2 linked regions of the Coturnix japonica genome follow. The protein of the gene in region 2 interacts with the protein of the main gene of each other region in a biochemical or structural test. Links are inferred from orthologs where the notes say so. Each region holds a gene or a part of one and is shown on either strand. Other genes may lie near its edges.

Region 1 (7,431 bases), on a different chromosome or scaffold from region 2:
ATAAGCACGCGTTTTTCTTAGGTTACCATGTAAGTAAATCTAACATGTAAAAATCACGTCATAAAACTTCAAGCCACATAATGTTCACAAATCCAGGGCATATTTTTCACTCCACCTTTACAAAAGATATCCGTTTATGAACAAGAGACTCTTTAGTAGGAATTTTAAATCCTAATTCTGAAATAATCCTACATTATGCAAATGCATAGTATGAAAAGTAGATCTGGAAATTACATCCAAGTGTAGAGTGTAAGTAGAATCATTTAATCTTTAAGGCCACACAAGGGTACACCACCTTAGCGGCCTCTGCTGAACTCACTCCATTTATCCATGCCTTTCCTGCCAGCCAAAAAATCAGGGCACTGTTCCTTGATGATATCTTCAGAGATACTGACTTTTTCATCTACTTTCGCACCTTTATATTAAAGCAGCAACATCGCTTTTTAGTACCAGGGTTTTCAGCAGTGGTTTCAGTAAGCTTTATGAAAGGATAAAACCAATGGGCTGCACCAGGTGCTACCCTACCGTTCATGAAGCTTTTACTTGCACTAGCATGTGCTTATTTTCAACTGTTGATGATTACTATTACTTATGTTTTAACTTACTTTAATCTTCCATCAAAGTACGCGGGAGTTCCAAGGACAATGGTTTTAATGAAGAAAGGCTGGTTTGTGTGGTTCTCCTCATAGCCACCGACAATGCTGAAACCCCAGCTTCCCAAATTGCTCCGTCGCAGCACTACATCGTGACAGCTATGCAGGCAGCTGTGGAATGGAAGCACAGGACAGCAAGAGAAAAGCTGTGTGTACCACGTGTAGGTGTTTCTGTACCAGGAACAACACCTGCTCTCTCACATCAGCGCTGCTATGCTGCCCACGGACAGGGTAATTTTGCAATATCCAAACTGATTGCAAAAAAAAATCCACATTTTTCAGACATAAATATGTTTAAAAAGGAATAATGCAAAGCTAGAATAATTACTTAACTCTGTAAACTGACAGTACTAAAATGGCATTATAAGGATTTCACAGGTGGTGAGAATGTGGGTGGAAAACGTATATCCAACCTATTTACTTTGCAAGTCAAAAATGAAGTGCATGTTTCTTCCACCTCCAGTCGGTTTAGACATCTTCCTACTTTAAGTACAGATTTGGTAGTTCATGTGTGACCTTCTCTACCTCTGAACTGATTCACCATCAGTAATGAAAACACCAATGATTAACCATTTTGATATGTGGCAGGTAAACAATCCAGATCATGCTCCACTAACTGTACTGGTGTATGTAATAACTTCCTTCATGAAAATTAATTCTTGCCAGTGAAATAGTGACCGTAATTAAAACAAGCAAAGAAACAAACAAAAAACCCTAGAAATTAACTTCCAGGCAATAATGATGCAAAGTTCTTCACTGATATACAATACTCTTTAAAGAGAAGCAGCAGAATGAGTAACATGGGAGCAACACATCATCTTCCATAGTATTTAAGGAGTAAATCACTACTAAGGCATGGAAAGTAAGTACATTTCCAAAGCTGAAAGCAGTTTATTGACACACTGGATAACTCATAGTTCTGTTATATTCAGACATATTTGTTATCTGCAGACATATTTTGCCACCAGTATGCTTGTTTATTTTTGTTATTTTATACTTCAACTACAGGCCCGAGCTTGGTTAAGTCCATCAGTAGGAGAGGAAGTAGCCTGAACACTGCCTGAAGTTACCCGCACTAGTCACTGTAGTGCGAGCTCTCCTTGTGAGCAATGCCAGAATGAAGCCACAAGAAACTGAAAAACAGAACAGTAAAAATGAAGCACGATGATGTCAAGCAGACTGCAGATTAGGAATGGGGAGGGAGCTGCAAACCTGGAAGAGATTTCGTGTTTGGCAGAGACGGTAAGTGGGTTTTTGAAAAGAAATAAATGAGGATTTGTAACTCCAGGCTCGTGTGGAAGAGATTTATGTTAAAAGTATGAGAATGGAAAGTCTGATCCAATATTCCAAAGTTGTATGTTTTTCCTTGTAAATTTATGTAGTAAACCATCACAAAGACATATGGATAAATACTTTGTGTTGTTATTAATTATCTCTCTGATTTTAGATACTCTACTGGAAACTATGATACAGTTAAGCAATGGAAAAGATGAGTTTTATTAAATGAGAAGAATTCATGTGAGTAGCTACTATTGTTTTTGAAGGGATAAACTGAGTCTCTTCACCTCCCAGTTTCCTAAGAGAACACTGCTCCTGTTCATGGTCCTCATCATGAGCACAATGCAAATAGAGTACAATTGAACTGGTTAGGCAGGCAGAAATAAAGGCAGACGTGTTGCAGCTAGTAATGTCTCCGCTTTTGTATTTCTCTCCGACTTAAGTTTAAAACAGATAACTAATTACTGTATTAATTAATTCAGTACCTTGGGAGTCCCAGCCACATGACCCATGATGGTGACCAACTGGCATCGTATTCATTTTCACTGATGGTACTCAACTGTTCTTCATTGGCCTGGGGTTGTTCTTCTACGATCTGGACTTCCAATGCTTTCAGGGCAACTACCGAGGAGGCAGCACTGGCTTTCAGCATGGCCACCGCCTCACTGTGACTGAGGTTAGTCAGATCGATGCCATTGATGTTCAGCAACACATCACCTGTTTAGAGGCACAAATAAGAACACAACAGCCTGTCATGATCTATAGTACCTCTCTGATCAGGATTTCACCTCATACTGTAATCTTCTGGAGCCAAGACAATCTGAACAAACAACTTGGGAATGTGAATAGCAACATTAGCTCAATTAGCTACAATTCAGGCACCACAACTATATCTTATAGACAAGTGAAGCTCCACAGAGCTTTTTAGGTTTTGGTTTTTCTGAGTTTGCAGTTTAGGAGAACAAAAAATGAATACAAAAACAACTGGAAAGGCTGGTGCAAAATCCAATCCGTCAGAAGGAAAAATGAGCATCTGTGCAAAGGTAATAATCTGGAAAGAGTCCAAGACAGTAAAAAAATAGCCACAGTTTTTATTTTATTTCAGAGTAATATCAGAATGCCTCAGGGTGAAAACAAAAATGTAATTTACTGTTCAAGCTGTAAGAGTCTCCTCCTCCACACAGTGTCTCACTTTCTGATGAAAGCCAGGAAAAACAAAGCAAACATGTGAACACCTGAGCCACATTTGGAATGAGACTCATTTCTTAAAAGCTTTTGCCTCCCAAGGAAAGCTAAAGATGAGGTGAAGCACAACTTAAAACCATTTTTGTGGCTCCTTTATTATTACGGGACAAAACTATCATTGTGATTCTTCCACCAGTTGTATTTTTCACATGAGCATACTGTGGTATGTGGGTGTAAATCTCCCCATCTCAGAAGCACAGAAGGAGGTTCCCATGCAGTCATTTTTCAGTTTCAATTTCTGAAGTTCTGCCCCCCCTCCTTCTAAATTTAGTTCCTAAAACAATTTGAAATCCTGTGAATTCTGAATTGCCAAGGTCCCATACACGGTGTTTGTTTCACATATGGCACAATACATTCTAATCACCAATGCTTAGCTGCTAATCAGTAAGGACTGTGCTCTCCTATCCTGTGTCTAACCTTTGTATCCACATTCCCTGTATCCTTATGCAAAGCTGAGGAACAGGGGTGGTTGTTGCAGCACACCTGAAAAACAGCAAAACCAGGCTGTGCTGGACAAAGGACAAGGTAACGTTTAGGTTCTATGGTCACTACAGATGAAGCCTTGAGGGTAATCTCCACGTAGGTTACTTGTCATCAGGAACACGTGAGCTGTTCAGATATTACAGGGAGGATTCCTCCAGCAGAAAAGGAGCCCACCCCACCAAATGAAACACAAAAACAGGATGCGTGCACTAAAGTACAAACCATCACATGAGACACTCAGCTCAGGGGATTACAGTCAGCTGTAAAGAATGTAACCAGACATTTCCTGATCTCATCCACTTCCCCGCTATCATTCTCTAAACATCCCTTTCCTAGAAAAGGTGGAAGTGTGATACTAAATACTGTATTTCCACTACTGAAACACAAACATCCATCATTGCTTTGTTACATTCGTTAAAAGGTTTTATGACACCCCGTGATTTCAGTGAATGTACTCATCAAAAAACAATTGGAGGTCATCCATGGCACCAGGAAAGCCAAGCCCTACCTCGTTTAATCCTGCCATCTCTTGCCAAACACCCATGGGGCTGTACGCTTGTCACGAAAATGGGCAACTCGCCACTTTTGCTGCCTCTGCCTCCTGCCACTGTCATTCCAAGAGATTCATGTGGCTCTTTTTTCACAGTAATGTGCTTTTCTTGGCATGTAACACACTGGGAGAGGTCCTGTTTGACAAGAATAAACAATGTAGTTAAAGCTCTGAAAAACAAAACCCAACACACACCAAAAAACCCAAACAGAACAGAACGCAACTAAGGGCACCTCAAAGCTGTGCTTTGGTGCTTTAACAGAATGGTTTAAAGGAAAAAGTCTGTACCGCAAATTGGCTTTAGTTGGATTTCCTCCAGGTCAGAAAAAAATAAAAAGCTACTGATGTAGATGCTGAAGTGTAGACAGAAAGTTGACGAAGGCCATCCTTGAAAATCTCACTCAAGTTTCTTTTAGCTCTTACACAGGAATAGGCTATATTTTAAGACTGTGCTATGAAATCATATGGCCAAAAGTCAAGAAACCAAACAGAAGCAAATCTTTTGATGTCTTAGTGAACATCAGCATTACCTCACTCACAAGTAAGAACATGGCCTGCAACTACAAAGAAGCCCCATAAGAAATGAAAACACATGTATTCACAGTCACACAGAGAGGCCATTTAAAACCTCCTATGTCATGTTTGTTTTTACATCTGGTATGCAGCCTCTCTCGGAGCACAGAGTAGCTAAAGTCAATAATGCTTATATGTGGCTGCTAATAGAAGCTTTGTGCAGGCTCCCTAATAACCATAATGATACCCCAAACCTGAATCAAAACAAGAATATTTCATTTCCTAACACATGAATTCTAAAGTTTAGCGCATATTTAGTTTTCCCTATCTAAGGATTTAGACATGAATCAAAGTTTATTTCACTTGCTCAAAACTTTCCTTTTCGGTTTATTTAGCGATACACTGAAATCACTGCACACACACCTGCAATAACATCTTAAATCAACAAAATGCTCAGAAAGAATCCAAAATAATGGAAGAAATAACCTGGAAGATTCTTCCAAGTACAAACACTTCTTTATTCCCCTGCTTTCTATTAGAAAAAGGAAGCGCTGCTTTCCTTTACTTTCAACGCCACACGCCTCTTCTGATTCTGCTCCTTGCACGTTCATGTTAATCACATAATATACAACTCATAGCTTCTGAAGACAGCTCCTCCTTAAGTCTTCAGGCCTAACTGGCAGGTGCCACACAATTACATAAACTTTGTATTAAGACAAAAGACTTCTATGCCAACTACAGATTAATAAGAGAGAAATAAAGATAGTAACTCAACCTTTAAAAGAAAATACTACCAACACATGTAAATCCTCCCAGTAGAAGGGTGACATTAGACACTGATGCTAAAAGACTGGATGGGAGGAAAGGTGGATTGACTGGCATGGTCAACAGGGCAATTACTTCACAGAATCTGAATAGTAAGATGTCATATTGGTTTAACAAGAGGAAGTAGTTAGAACTCAAGCACAGTCTTACAGATAATCTGATACTAGCTTTGTGAAAATCTCTTCATTCTGCCTTTCTCTCCCATTCTGTAGTCTGGCAGTCAGCACTGCTGGCTCATGGAGGAGAGAACACATCCTTCAACAAGACCTTTATATGCTGTGTACTAAACACTGCATGTCCTGTCCTTGCTGGTTGCAGTCAGCACAGTGGTAGAAACACAAACACTCTTGAATGCCACCAACCTTATGTGAGTTGGGTCTGCAGTGAAACAGCTGCTGGGACTGGTGTTGGTGTGGGTTGCTGTTGTGAGTCCCCGTGTCTCGGATAATACTGACCGTCTGCGACTTCATGGGTCTAGAGATGATCAAATTCACTCTCTCCCCACTAGCCTGTCAAATATATAAAACAAAATAAAGAAGTCTGTAGGATAGACATAATGAAATAATAAGTCAGCAGAACTTGTTTTTCCAGCTCCCAGAGGTGCCGCAAACTTCTCAGTCTTCTTGCTGCAATTCCCCCTGGATTAGAGGGGATACCAGCATTCCTTTACTTCTGATGTTACATCCGCTTCACAGGAAAAAGAAAGGGTAGTTAGGTACTAGAAAGGGTAGTTAGGTACTGGAATAGGCTCCCCAGGGAGGTGGTTGAATCGCCATCCCTGGTTGTGTTTAAGAGCCGTATGGATGTGGTATTCAGGGATATGATTTAGTGTAGGGTTTTTAGAGTTTGGGTACTGGTTCGGCTGCGGTTGGACTTGATGATCTTCAAGATCTTTTCCAACCTGGGTAATTCTATGATTCTAAATGGGTGGAGCCTGGTTTCAGCTCATGATCAACCTGGGATCTGCAGATTTTAGTCAGAAGTTCTGAACGTTCTGTTTCTCAAAGACTTCAGAGAAAGATGTTACATATGAGCAGATCATTAAATCCTAGAGATCTGGGAATATCAGGAGACTCAGATATGAGATATTAAATGAAATATCAGCTCTTTCCATTATTGCAAAAACACAAGAGATACAAGTTACCTGTTGTAAAATCTGACCATTTCATTGTATCCAGAAACTGAGAAACAAGCGTTAAACCCCCCAAATCATTGTTATTTTCCTCTTAACTACAACGGAAGCTCTTAAAATGATTCCTGAAACATATATTTTCTGTTCATTTGAACTGTGGTTCTCATTTGGTATTGGAACTTTAAGTTAAGCAAATGCAATTAACTGTGCTAGACCGCAAGAACCTGCTACTGGTCTATCCCAACTTCATCAAAACTGGAGCATTTTTGCCAACATCCCATCAGAAGGAAGCAGCACATGCTGCAGCTGTTTCCTTACAGATTTGGAGGAAGGTGTGCAGTGAAGTTTTTCCCTACAGGAACAGGTAGGGCTCATGTGTCTGACTGCATCATGCTTTGGGTAATCTCTGTGTACAGAGCAGAGACAGTCATTCGGAATAGCGCTTCCCTAATGCTCAGGAAATGAATTTTACTACACTAGGTTAATAGAAGATTGACTTTTTGTTCCTAGCGGCTGTCTGTTGCTTCCATGAAGTCTGGCAATTTGCTGTCCCATTTGGGTCTACCAACGCCATGTGCAGGTAAACCAATGTCCACTTGCAAAGAGCTCACTCAGACAAGAAATTAAACCTACAGTACAAGCAGAAGTATAGTAGCATATTTATTTATTTATTTATTTTCCTGTTATGTAATGGGCCACATAAGCAGCCATCTAATGATCAGGCTGCGTGCTAGGGAAGACTAAGTCACTTT
Region 2 (7,993 bases):
GACAGGAGCAAAGCCTATGTGGCCATAATTTATGCTTCAACTCTCATTCATTTCTGTTCAGCTAACACGCTTTCCCATTGTTGTGATAATTTTAAAGCATTTATTCTATAAATAAACAGTCAGCATTCATGATAAAGAAGTCCATTAGCATTAATCATATGACTTTTACATGATACACTGACTGAAAAAGGCGTTTCCAGTATTTCTCTTGCTCATGACAAATAAGTCATAGGTAAGAAACAAAATGCAGCAGTTGAATAGGCAGGCTAGAACACTTGATCTTCTGACATCATTTCATTTCTCTTCAGAAATACAAAAATTATTTAGAACTTACTCAAAAAATAAAAAAATTTAAAAAAAAATAGAGGAATTGTATTTTATTTATCAAACTATGAGCCTTTGCCTTCTTTATCACTGATACTATTGAATAAATCAACATTTGTATTTCCCTATATATTTCTATTATGAAAATTCTGAAGAATCCCAGCTTACTGAAGTACAAAATGTGCAACTGCATAAAGTAATTGAATGAACTGAGTCACTGGCTCTGACTGTTATAAACAGATCATTTCTGTGTCATATGCAAAGGAATTTTAAGCATTAAAACCTTACAGCTATCAAGATGCGCACCTTCACTCGAGTCTGATTGAACACTGGCTATGCATCTACAAGAAATAACCTGCATTAGCTCTTCTGCCTGACAGGAAATCAAGCTGAACCTGAACCAAAGCCCAGTGAAGTCAGCATGAATTTTTTCCTTCAGTTTTAATTGGCAATGGATCAAGTCTTTTGCACAAAATCTCCTATTTCTTCAACTTTAAAACAATCCTTATGACTGTCAAACATTTTCCAGTTCAATATAAATTCAAAAGGTGAATTTGCAGAACAACCCACAAATCCACAAAATGAAGATCAGGCTTGGATTTGTGTGTCAAATAGTAATCTTTAGAAGCTTGTTATATTGCAGATGGAGATTTTAGCTGCCATGTTGCCTTTCTAAAAATAACCGGCAGTTTTCCAGTGAACATGCAGTCAACTAGCAATATCAGTGAGCATTTATACTGCACAGAATCATTTGATAAGTCCATTTTATGATCTTCTATAATCAAACTGTAAAAAATTTATTTTTTTACATAAGGAAAAAGATTTTTAAAATCTTTAAAAACATGACACATTTCAAAGTATTTTTTTTTCACTTTGGAAGAAAAAAGCCTATAAGCGAAAATGATAATGAATACACTATCTAACAGCTAATGACTTCTGTGGTTTGGTTTTTATTGTGTGCGAGGGTTTTTTGTTGCTGTTGTTGTTTTCAACACTGGCAAGCAAAAAGAATTAAATGTTGAAATATTTACTGTAATCCATAAAGAAAAGATCTATATGCACTATCTCCAGGACAAAGTATAATAAAATCCATAGTCAGGCTTGAAATAAAATACAATCAAAAGGCCATTTGTAGCTCTAAACCCTCATCTCCTTCATGCATTATAAAGTATCCCCAATTTTTCCATCACCATTTGGGCACTTTTCTTTAAAGTGCAGATAACACTTAGTTAAGAATGAAATCTTATGGTTTTTGAATCCTGATCCAAGTCCTACTGTTGCCAGTGAGATACCCTCTGTCAAAGTCGTTGGGAATTAGGTATGGTCCGTAAGCAAATCTTTGTACCCTATATTAAAATCATTGCTATTAATAGAGATTTCTTTCTGACTGCCCCAGTGGCTTACCAGTAAGTCGAGGGGACAGGAACAGTGTCTTTCTTGAATCAGCTGTAAAGCAGAAAAGCTGAGGTTACTATTCCCTGATGAAAAGCTGCAATTGTTTCATTTTCAAGGTAAACACACCCTGCTATTTCCAGAGTGACCTTGGCAGCCAACTGTGTTGCCCTTAGTGTCAGCAGAGTGAAGGCTGTTGGTGTCAGTGGGCTTTGGATCAGGCTTTAAAGACAGAAAATTATTGCTTAAGAGGAAAACGGACATAATGAATAGTCTTGATTTCCCAGGTTTTGTCACTTAGAGTTCAGAATATAAACAAGACACTTTAAACCCTGAAGAGTATTTATAAGTCAATTATTTTGACTTTGTATATTTCCACAACTGTATACAATAATAAAGAAGAACAAACCTCTCTGGCTTACAAAAAAAAAGGCAAATACTTTATTTATGAATAGAGATTTTAGCTGCTTTTTACACCACTGCAATGACTAAACAAATAGCATAAAAGAAATAAAGGAGAGTATAAAATCACTTTATTACAACTGGTATTCCAAAACAACCTTCTGATTAAGTACAGAGTTGGATGTTTCAAGTATGGCACTTATACAAATAAGAGCAGAGAGAAGGTGATATAATCACAGTTAAAAGCAATGAACTCTGTTCCTTTGGTATGTATGTCACCGTAGGTAACTGTAGGTAAGTATGTAACTTGGCCAGCATGAACCAACTCCATCTTATTCATGCACATATCAGGGAATGAACTGAAATGTGCTGTTATATTTTTTAGATCACAACTAAAATAAGATGATTAAGGACTCTGGTGTGTGAGGACAGGCAAACAATAAATGGCAAAATTATATCCAGCATTTATTGTTTAGCATAACTAGATGATGCACAAACTATGTTAGAAAATAGCTAGTAATACACACCAGGAAGAACTCTGTGATGCAGACTAGCAAAATAACATCAGACATCTGAGATAGGTGAAAGCAGATGTCCTGATAGATCTGTGGTCACAGTGCAATTACCCTCCTTTTAAAACATGCTTACATCTGCACATTGTAACAGTTTACCCCACCCCATCCCACCCCACATAGAGTATCCTTGCAGATTTTTAATATGAACATTCTACATGTTTACAAAGATCAGTCAGACAGTCCGAACTGTAAACTCATCCTAATGATGACCAAAAAGCCACTCCACCAACAGATAGCATTCAATCTTTAGAAAGAAAATTAGTAATAATAGTAGCTGTAAGGCTAGATCAAGCATGGTTTTATAGCTGTTTTGTGGTTTGTTTGTTTGTTTGTTTTTCAGTCTTTTACATAGCACTGCATTTCTGCAGCTAGTTCAGTAAGTGCAGATCCAATACCTTAATGGCTTTCTTGGTGGTTTGATAAAATGCTTGCCTAAGCAATGTACCTTTCTCTAATAGTGTCTGGGTCTGTTCCACCTGGCACCAAGTTTCAGTTCTGTCACAGCCTCACACATAAGCTGAGTCACTTGACTGAGTCCTGCCAAAGTTAGGCATGCTCATTCTTGGCAGGTCCTTATTTCTGATTTCATATATGGATTTCCTTTTTGCCTGTACTCCTCTCACTGCCATTTTGATCTTTCTCCAGCCCAGGTGGTTCAGTTCTGCCAAATTGAGCACCACACAAATGCCACTGACAGCAAACATGAACACTAAGAACACAGTCTTCTCAGTGGGTCTAGAGACATAGCACTCTACTTCTTTAATGCAAGGGTATCTGTCACATTCGTACATGGAAGGGACATTGAATCCATACAGAAAGTACTGTCCCACTAAGAATCCAATCTCTAGGGCATTTCGAAAGACCACTTGGATGATATAAAATCGAGAAATGCCTTCTTGCCTCCTCATCTTTGATTTTGTAGTTCTGATTGCAGGATTGGGGATCTCCTTCACTTCTAAGCAGTCTGGTTCTGCCTCTTTGGTGGAGTTCTCAGTGTTCTGCAGCACCCCATTGACAATAGTGTTCTTGATTTTCTTACTGTCCTCACGCTTCATTGAATCCTGGTCTCTCTCCAAGGTGAGGAAGACAGTGGAGTACCTCCGTTCCCTCTGCTTAGCAGACTGATGAACAGAGTATGTTATGAAGCACAGGCTGGGAGTGCACACCATGATGATCTGGAACACCCAGTACCTTATGTGAGAAATAGGGAAAGCCTGGTCGTAGCAAGCCTGGTTGCAGCCTGGCTGCAGCGTATTACAGACAAACATAGTTTGCTCGTCATCGTACACCGTCTCCCCTACAATGGCCACAATGAGGATCCTGAAGATCACCACCACGGTCAGCAGGATCCTGGAACAGAGAAGCCCGTCAGTGCGCGCGACCGGGAGCTGTCCAGTGCTGATCGTCCCGGAGCTCCGCAGCCGGTGCGGTATCGCCTCGGCGCGGCGGGGAGCGGCCGTGCCTCGCCGCCAGCCCCAGCTCCTGTTGGGAGCTGCCCCGGCCCCTCTGGGAGAAACAACAGCGACCGCGAGGGCCTCAGCTGCAGAATGCGCAGAGAGGCGCGGAAGGGCTCCGGCTACGGGACCGCTGTAGCGGCGGAATTCCCTCAGTGTCTGCCCGCAGCCCCCCTACTCCTCGAGGTCGGGCCGAGCGCCGTGTCTCCGCGTCCTGTGCCGTGGCTCCGTGCCCGCTCCGCCCGCACACAGGCAGTCTCCAGGCGCGCACGGCAGGAGCCCCGCGCAGTCTGCTCGCACCGCCAGGACTCGGCAGCTGGGCAACCCCGCGCTCCCCCCCTCAGCACCCCGTCGCCCTTACCTCCCTATCATAGTAGAGTGCTGCTGCACGGCAGCTTCCAGTAGCCTCTCTAGAATAGTCCATTCCCCCATCGCTGTTCATCCGGAGACAAAGACTTTGGCAAGCGGAGGGGATCTCTTCACTTCTTCCTACCCCTTTCTTCTTCCCCCCACTTTTTTTTTTTTTTTCTTTTTGTTATTGTGTTGCAAGGGGTGGAGAAAGAAAAAAAAATACAACAACAGCAACAACAAAAATTATAAAAAAAACAAACGGGAGAAACCCCCTTCTACCGCCTGCAGTCCGGTAGTAGAAAGGCAGCTGGACGCGGCAGCCCTTCCGAGGACTCTCGGCTCGGCCCGACTCTATTCGGGGCCCCGCGGCGGCCGAGCCCGGCCCGGACCACTCAGCTCGTGCCGCGGCGGACCCGCGCCGAGGAGGGAGGAAGGTTGGCTTTTAATGTCTTGCTGCCTCTAATCTGCCTTTAAGTAGTCTCCGCTTGCGTCACTGACAGGTTGGTGGAGAGCAGCCAAAAGCAGAGCTCGGATTTTCTCATTTTTTATTATTCCCGTGAATATAAATAAATAAATGAGATAAAACAAATGAAGTAAATAAATGAGGAGGAGGGAGGCGGAGAAAGAGCTGGCCCAGCCGCCACGAGGCTCCCCTCGCCAGCGAGCAGCTAGTCGCCCGACCAGAGCCCTTCCCGGTCGCGGCCAGGTCATTCCGGCCACCTCCCCACCTTTGGGGTAGGACCCCAAGGGAGAGTACCCCGGGGAACCGGCACTGGCCCGCGGCTGCTACTCCGGGGTGCTGTGCCCCTGTGCCTGACTGCAGAGTCGGGAGCTGTGGGGCTCTGAGAGTTCCCGGGCTTGAGAGAACAGCAGTGTCATGCAGCAGCAATCTCAACTAATACAACTGCTTACCTTTGGGGGATACTGGTCTTAAAGCTGTGCCTTAATTTTCCTCTGATCACAAATATAATACAAGAATCACTAAGAAGTGAACATATATAGCCATTTCAGAGAATTCTGAGATTGGATTTAAGCAAGAAAAGACACCAAACCTTCATTCAAAACATCTCCAAACAGCATGAGAATAAAGACATCCCTTCATTATAAAACATTTACATATTCCCCAAAATCATTACAATATGTTTTAAATATTTTTTTATTTTATGGCAACCCTTAGAGACTGTATTTGAGACACTATCAAACAATTTCAGACAAACATTGACACCTGCTGGGATTGACTCTTCCCTGGTGGTGAATCCTAAAGTGTGTTCTCTACATTTCCATAAAGTATAGCTTTTTACCTGCTCAACTGATCTTATTAAAATGAACATAAGAAAAATTCAAATCAATCTGATCAGCATTCCTGCTGCCAAACTCAGTAAAATCAGTCTTCTTCCAAAGCAGAATGGTTTAGGCCACTCTAAACAGTATGGTCCTCTTTAATTTGCAGCTCTCTCATGAAAAAAAATGTGTTGTGCTAATGATGAGAAGCGTTCTCTAAATATATGGAGCCAAGCTTCATCAATGTACAGGACACTGGTGTGTTTCAGACACCTTAAAATTTGCCTTTTCCTTTGATGTGTGCATATGGTCCCTGATTCATGTTACTGGGTCCATTTCCTGACTGGATCCTTAAGCCTTCGAAATGGGGAAATGTCAAATATGAGAAGATCAATGAATGCCTCTATTTGCAGAGAAAATTTCAGATTTTTTTGTCTTATCCAATCAAGTGGATGTTAAGAAGTAATCTGGATTGTTTCTTTCCAACACCATTGCTTTTCCTTAAATCCTGACAACATCCTTCTTTAAACCTGAAACTCACACCTCCTGCAGTATGTGCATGTGTTTGTAAAACCTGCTGCTGCAGCAACATAAAGAAAGAAAAAAAAAAAAAAAGTTGTTCCTTTTGTTTTAAAAGGACTGCAGTATCTATCAGCCATAAAGTTTTTCATTAGGGCCACAAAGTATCTCTGTGGAGAGGCATCTGAAAACAACAGAGATCAAAACAAGAAAGGAAGCAGTAATGCATGTGCAGAAGGAGAGAGGGCAGGGAGTATGCTAATAAGCTAATGATGATAATCCTATTTGGAGAACCAGAGAGAGAAAGACCTTGACAGAAATTACTGAAGAGCACAGAGGAGATTTTGGTCCACAGTCAAGTATATGCATTTCTACAAAGGGAAGCTGTTAAGTAGCCTCAGGATAGAAAACATACATATCTGAGTTTTTATGACCAGTAAACAAACAGGAATCAAATTCTGATCAAACCGTACACTGAGCTTTTGGTAATCAGTTAACCAGTATTTGCTCTTTGTTATGAGATCTACTTATTGGTGGTAGCCCACTTGTAGAAACATAAAGGGGAAGTAACGTAAATGAATGTTACAGATATGTAAACGCTGATATGAAATATACTTTGCTTATGTGTGTTTTAAAGTTAAATATTTCAGGTCAGGGAGTTGTAACTCATTCTAAAACAGCTGACCTTTCCTTTTCTAACAGTAGCTTCATATGCCACATCATCACCTTATTCACAAACTGGATGCTTGTCTTTACACTTGACTGTTTGTGGACTTCAGATCTCTGTGAAAGTGGGCAAAAAGATAATAATTACAATCTGAGTGTTTCTTGATGCTAACACACATTTTAAGTGAATGGAAAGTAATTATTAACATTCCCTTTATTCACCACATGGGCAACAGCAACCCACGGACTTGCCTGACTGTAAGGTAGAATAATAGAAAAGATGGTAATAGATATTCAAAAGGTTATCCATAGGGAAAACTTACCAATATGGATGCTTTCAGTCTGGCTGAAAAATGCTGAGGCTGACTACCCACTCTCCACAAAGAAGCAACCTCAAAGAGATGCTGCCTTAATGGTGGTCAGCCCTTAAATGAAGTCTAGGGAAGGTGGAGTCAAGCTTCACCCCTTCCGGGAGCACAGCTGAATTACTCTCACCTGTGCACCCACAGCTGACCCGACACTTGCCTCAGCTGATTAAGTAGAGGTTCAGGCTGTGATTACCAGTTTTCCATACACCTGACAAATACCTAAATTACAAAGTATCTGAAGTTTGAATAGTAGACTTAAGAAGATCTTCAGCTTCTTGGGGTTATTAGATTTTTCGTTGTTTCCCTGAATACTCCAGTCCATGATAAAGCTATGATTTGCAGATGAGTAGACTAGTAAGAATGCTACTGAAGCATCTGCATCATGTGTGATATTCACATTATAAAATCACGCACGTATTACATTCACAAGCACTCAGGATTATCAGCACTTTAAATTATACAAAGCTCAAGGCTTACAAATAATCATTTCTTACTGAAAAAAACAGGGCCAGTCCTGTCCAGTTCCACATATTTGTTAGCTGTATAAAAAGTAAATAAAGATGGCTTCACACTCCCAAGTGCAGGCTTTGGAGCTGAGGATGTATTTATATTTGGTTTGCTCTGCATTTGAAGAGAATGACTATTTGTCTGCAGATTAAAT

What was found.
Region 1: the proteins of GJD2 (region 2) and LNX2 form a complex in vitro, tested with the Homo sapiens proteins (2 studies listed by BioGRID and IntAct, with this or other methods). The link is inferred for Coturnix japonica from reciprocal best matches to the Homo sapiens genes GJD2 and LNX2.

Annotation. Positions count from the first base shown.
Region 1 is NC_029516.1:157,602,788-157,610,218, reverse strand, and holds part of LNX2 (ligand of Numb protein X 2), read right to left. Parts: intron 6,057-7,431; coding exon 5,910-6,056; intron 4,346-5,909; coding exon 4,168-4,345; intron 2,649-4,167; coding exon 2,417-2,648; intron 765-2,416; coding exon 606-764; intron 1-605.
Region 2 is NC_029520.1:29,116,090-29,124,082, reverse strand, and holds the start of GJD2 (gap junction delta-2 protein), read right to left. Parts: upstream 5,050-7,993; 5' UTR 4,580-5,049; coding exon 4,509-4,579; intron 4,044-4,508; coding exon 3,200-4,043; 3' UTR 1-3,199. UniProt on the Homo sapiens protein: One gap junction consists of a cluster of closely packed pairs of transmembrane channels, the connexons, through which materials of low MW diffuse from one cell to a neighboring cell.